Tribolium castaneum: one gene and its partner. The protein of the gene in region 2 purifies or fractionates together with the protein of the main gene of each other region. This does not show direct contact. Links are inferred from orthologs where the notes say so. Each region holds a gene or a part of one and is shown on either strand. Other genes may lie near its edges.

Evidence for each region.
Region 1: the proteins of Strip (region 2) and Cka purify together in Drosophila melanogaster (affinity purification with western blotting; 4 studies listed by BioGRID, with this or other methods). This does not show direct contact. The link is inferred for Tribolium castaneum from reciprocal best matches to the Drosophila melanogaster genes Strip and Cka.

Annotation. Positions count from the first base shown.
Region 1 is NC_087402.1:3,094,964-3,098,434, forward strand, and holds the end of Cka (striatin-3), read right to left. Parts: coding exon 3,392-3,471; intron 3,342-3,391; coding exon 3,216-3,341; intron 3,164-3,215; coding exon 2,824-3,163; intron 2,773-2,823; coding exon 2,508-2,772; intron 2,461-2,507; coding exon 2,097-2,460; intron 2,047-2,096; coding exon 1,874-2,046; 3' UTR 778-1,873; downstream 1-777. Other genes in the region: uncharacterized protein RhoGAP71E, read right to left, coding at 216-380.
Region 2 is NC_087403.1:5,463,359-5,466,047, reverse strand, and holds the end of Strip (striatin-interacting protein 1), read right to left. Parts: coding exon 2,551-2,689; intron 2,501-2,550; coding exon 2,256-2,500; intron 2,205-2,255; coding exon 1,977-2,204; intron 1,928-1,976; coding exon 1,756-1,927; intron 1,711-1,755; coding exon 1,506-1,710; intron 1,458-1,505; coding exon 1,363-1,457; intron 1,305-1,362; coding exon 1,140-1,304; 3' UTR 833-1,139; downstream 1-832.

The DNA of each region.
Region 1 (3,471 bases), on a different chromosome or scaffold from region 2:
AGGCGGCTTATTTTATTAATTTTTTTTTCGTTAGAAATAAATCGAAATATGTGTCAAATGATGAAATTAACAACCGGAAGTCCACTCATTTTGTGAAATCTGCAGCCTTTTAACGCATTTCCTGTTCTTCTAACAAAGATTTTAACCCAAAAAACACGCTGTAGAATATATGAAACCTGGACTTTTTTAAGCTCTCCTCTTGTGTGACGACTTACAAGAAGTGGTCCCGGAATGTCGTTTTTGCAGACTTCTTCGAGAGGTACCCCGAACTTGACTTTCTCCAGCCTCCGAGGGTAGGGCCCGGAAGGGTGGCCACAGGACGTGACCACGTTGCTGAATGTGGCAGCTCGCCTGTGCATCCTTGCTGCCCAACTGCTCATCTCAACAGCCCCGTCTAACGTGTGTAATTCCAATTACAACGACCAGAAACGCTCATCCAAGCATAACCTAACTAAAAGCGCACATCAAAACATCTTCAAACTGAAAACGTTCACTTAAACAAAACAACTGCACTGTAACGAACACTAGGGATTATTTTACACATTTTGAGCACATCGGAAGTTTGAAATTTTTTTACAAACACCAACCACACCTCCAATTTCTACACCACAGATGACAGATCGCTACGCCTAGGATTATCATCATTTTCTCTAAAATGAAATACCAAAAATCGATGGTGGGGGGAGATCACAGCCAACTGCCACTTGGTATTACCTCGCGCCATTGGCTGGCGGTTTAGGCGCTAAACCATCGCCAGTTTGAACAAATGGACACAGCTTGAGTATTTACAGTTTATTGTTTTATGTTTTATACATTAAGTCATACATTCTTCATTCCTTGTGATTTGACCGCTTCGTAACCACTTATGGTTATTTTAAAAAAGTTACAGGTGTTTTATACATTGCAAACATGAAATTTCTTTATAAAATAGAACATGACGGTGTAAGTAGTTCCTATGACTTTGTATCTACAATGTTGAAATCATACGGGACTTATCGTTCTGTTTCGAAGCATTTTAAACAGTTTAAAACTTGTGTACAAAATAAATAGTAGCCACTATAAAAAGTTACATAAACACAACAATCTCGCTATCAAAACCGAAAATGATTAAGCTAATATATACATTATTGACTTTAGAAAACAGATAACTAATAGAGAGACCAGTTTCTTAAATATTATCCTATGATTTAAATACACTTTTATACATTCACAATTATACTTATTATCACTTACTATTGTTAACTGCTACTTTACGTTTCTTTAGCTATTATGCACTGGACTATATTAAACTTAAAAATATACGTGATAAATTATATGCTTAAAATAATAAAATAACAGCTATTTTAATACTATTATAAAAACGTTACTATTAATACACTTTTAAAAATGTTTTTCCTGTGGCAATTCATTTATTAGTGAGTTGAAACTAGTTATCACAAAATAAGAAAACGCGTCGACATTGTGTGTAAAATGAGAATTTTTTCTTACACTTTGGGTATGGCCAGCTGTACACAAAAGCGATTCTTTTGGTATGCAAGTCCAGAAACAAGAAAATAATTGCAAATGATGGGATTTATCAGAACGCTGACTATCCTACAACAAAAATTAACTCCTACGAAACATCAAGATCATTCTGTGAGCACATATAAGCTCAAAGTGTAGGAAACATGTACATAAGTTGTTTGTCTAAACTTTGGTGATAAATAAAACATGAGAAATTAAAGTAAGAAAAGCCTTTGAGTACAATCATGTAGTATATACAAACTCCTTCAGAATATTTTATGTACACCTAACCCACACAAATAGTAAAGCCAGTGAATGTATCGATTGACAAAATCTATTTAATATAAGTGATGTCCTGTTTACTTATAATTCAGACAAACACTTTGGCCAGTCCATCAGCCCCCGCACTTGCAATATACGGCCGAGTCGGGTGGAAAGCGACGTCTAGAATGCTTTCGTGGAACTTCTTTCTGTGTGCAGTGATCTCTTGAACGCAAGTCTTATTGTCCAAGTTCCATAATCTTATTGAACAATCATGTGAGCCTGAAAAAATCAGTCACACATGTCCTGACACCAAGTGTCGCAATACTTGCCTGATAATAAATACAACCCGTTAGGATCTACTGCTAGGCTAGTGACAGCTTCGAGATGAGCAACCATAGAATGGACCATTTTGCCGGTGTGATTATCCCAGAAACGAACATGTCTATCTTCGTGTGCTGTGATGGTCAAGGGTAAAGTCGGATGGCAAACTATTCTATTTATTTGCTTATTATTAGGATTAACACTGTCTTGACTGGATTCGAGCCGCATGACGGATTTGGCAGTTTCAGAATCATATACTACACAATGAGAACTAGCGTAAGCTGCGACTATACGATTTGGTTGGTCTCTCACGAAATCTACACTTGAGGGGATCCCGTCCTGTTCGGACGTGAACGTGTTCAGTAATTGTACCTAAACCAAAAATCATTTATTACGGAAAAAATCACAACACGAAATACCTTGCTATGCGGTGCCCACAACTTAACAGTACCATCGGCCGCACATGAGAGCAAATGCTGCCGAGAATTTAAAACAGACAGCCCCCAAACAGCGTCAGTATGACCTTGCAACGTAGTGTTTAGAACGTCAGGTTCAAACAAATCGTACGGATCTATGTTAGAATTAGGAACATTCCAACAGTTTATCACGCCATCTAAGCCACCGGAATAACAAAATTCTCCGGTCCCGGAAATCGCCAAACAAAGAACGGGTCCAGTATGATTCCTGTAACGTGAATTTCACTCTTGTTTATTTCCTTACACTTGACATTATTACCTAAAGGTGTACAAGGGTTCCACATCAAGGGATGCCGATTTTTTCGCGGGTACAGTTTTCTGCAAATTCCACAGTTTCAAAGTGTGGTCTTCGCTAGCTGTGATCAGTACGGACTCATTTGGATGAAAAGCTAGCGCTCGGACCCCGTCAAAGTGACTTCGAAGCGTGTATTTGGCATTCCATGTCTTCCGAAATGCCTCTTTACTGCTGGCAATGTCGTACGTAGTCTCTGCATCATTGTTTACCGTCAGTTGGGCCAGTTCGCCGAGCCCTAACGCCGAATCAATGTTATCGTCGTCGTTTAGGCCCAGCGGCCTCTTAGGCACTCCACCTTGAAAACCTGGAAAATTTCGCTGTTATTGCAAAACTACCGTGGTTACAACGATTTTTACCTTTCTTCCACTCGCTGTGCTCATTCTTAAATTCCTGTCGCTCTCCAGACTCGGACAAAAGATTGAGTTCGTTTAGAACTTCCATGGCTTCGGCGTCCACATCATCTCCCAAACTATCCAGTTTACCTGCACATAAATCGTAATTAATGCTGATTTACTAAGTGACAAGTGCACACCTTTTCGTTTCACCACTTTCACATCGTCGTCGAGATCATCAGTGGGCTCAATGTCAACATCATCACTCATATCATCATCG
Region 2 (2,689 bases):
TCATATATATATAAGTATTATCTGACCGCTGAAAAGAAACTGTTAACCGTCTTCTGTTTGCAACTGGAAAAACACTGATTATTATGAAGAAGGTAAAAGCAGCAAGGATGTTATCTATCCATTGGCAGACAACAATGAACAACTGAAGAAAATGTTTATTGATATAACTACGCTCATGATAAAGCTTTTGTAGTAGTTGACTACATTCCAATATCCACTTCAGGATTTTAAAGAGATTACAGAAGTAGCAATTAATTTATACAACATGGAATTAAAAACGGGTTCTTGATTGTTAATTTAATAGTAACGTGAAATTAAGTTATTAATGTGGTTAAGAAATTGAATTTATTTTAATAAATGTATTATATGTGTTTTTTGTTTACTTGGAAAAATTTATATCACTAAATTTAAAGGAGAATATTATCTACAATTCAAATTAAAATAAATCAAGTTTTTTAAGTCATACGTGTGTATTATATCGGTTTGAAAGTAAGATGTGGCTATATCACGCGTCAGTTTCAAAAAACACGTTTGGTCATTTGGGATGTATTCTTTTTTTTATTACTTTGTTTTCCCTTTTTGTACTTAACTATATTTTTGTGCTTTTTTTTTGAAGATACTGGAACCTTTATTAAAATCCTCGCTTCGAATTTGCGCTTCACATATTCGCAAAAATTGCTGCAAAATCAATTGGTTAAGTCTTGAGTTCCCTATTCATGTAATAATCCTTCACATACTGACCAATATGCAGAAACGATGATATTACGTCAATAAGGAGTGGATGGAAAGGAAAGAATGATTAAAAAAATGGGGAATGAATAAAACAAACTAATCATTATATAGCAAATATATTTAAATACTGAAGTAACCAAAATTTTTTTAACTGGGGAATTATTTTCCAACAAATAAGAACTGGTGCGGATAACAAAGTTAATTCAATAGGAATTGTCAAAAACAAAACGAAACATTGAATACTAACTAGAACACAAAAACTGAACTAAAACGAACAAAAAAATACAAAAATGCCGTAAATGTAACACACCACTTACTTAATTGAAACTGAGTATATTTATTGCAGTGATGAAAATTGTGATGGTGTTATATTTACTGCAATAGTTCAATAAATAATATCAAAGTCACTATATTGTTTGGTTTAAGAGAAGTTCCTCCCATTCGATAGTATTCCCATAAACTTCTTGTTCTAGCCAAAGTTGGTAGTGTTGTTTAAAACTCTCGGAGAGATCGTAGGTGGTCCCAAGCACGCTGTTTAGACAGTTATCCACAGGTGCAAATTCGCTGTCTTGCTGTAAGGGAAACTTATTAGTACAATAAAAGTATCTAACGGGGTAATGCAAGACATACATTTGCTTGCGTATATCTACGGTTATTAAACCTGTCAACTGAAGCTCTCAAAGCACATTCCTCAGCTTGGAAATCCCAGGGTCTTGCGTCCAAATCTGCACAGAAAACTATAGAAAAATATAACAATAAACAGGAACAATTACCATTTCCGTATGCCCAGTCATCGTTCAACCGATGCCTCACTTTCTGGTAGATGGCACTAATAGTTTTCATATTAGATTTGCGCCATTGGCGACCCAAGTATTTGGTTTGCATTTTTAATAATTTTAAAACGTACAGTTGGGTCATTGCATGCCTGACTTTGAGTGTGCGTTTTAAAATTGGAGCGGATTTAAAAACCACCAACATCTAAACAAAAAAATTAGCATTAAGAACATTTTTATTTGTACATACCATAATCCTGGAATGTTTCCATTTTGTTAACTTATTGAGTATCCTTAACAAATTAATACATGAGAACATATTCCTCCAGGAAAATGGTGCTGAGTCTCCGATCTCCAGACTTTCAGCTGTTAGTTCCGGTTGATCACCGATCACACAAGACGGAAAATCTAATATAGGAATCCTAAAAAGCTATTTATGCAGACATGTTTGCTATAGATCCTGGAACTTACACATTCTTCGCGCCCACGTAAGCCATGATGTTCTGATTGAAGAATTTCAATACTAGAGGTATACAGTTTGCAAAAACTAGATGCTGAGACATGAATTCAAACTGATAAATATGATTCAATTTGAAATGTTTCAGAAGTAACAATAAAATTGCAGAAACTGCCTTAACTATAATTTCCTTGTGCCTATTTACGTCAATTCCCAATTTCATTGACTGGAGAACAGTCATTCTAAAAAAACAACTGTCTTAAACCAAAGTTAAGAAACCGTCGGACACTTACGGCATCTCTTCTGGCAAAACATCAGCCATAATATTAATAGAATCAGTTTTAGCTTTTGAGGTAGGAGCAGCAGCAAGTAATATTTTAAGTAAAGCTATCATGTATTGTGGTAGATTAGGCAACATTGCCTGATACAAAATTTCAGTTGGAGTCATTTCTATTTCGCCCTCGGACGTCGAGAGAGGATTACGAGCAATCTCTTCCTCTTTTTGAATTTGCAACTCAGCTAAAGAAGTATAAACATGCTAAAACCGCAAAGTTAGACCGTAAGACACTCGCAACTCAAGCGCACTACTTCTTTCAAAGTTTTAACTCCTTCATGGATGGGTAAAGGTAGTCCAGCTAAACTATCGCGATCGCCTTGTAGACTATACCCGACGAATTTTAATCTAGCAGTGTCCAAAAACAAGTCGATATCTTTCTGCCGCACTTTC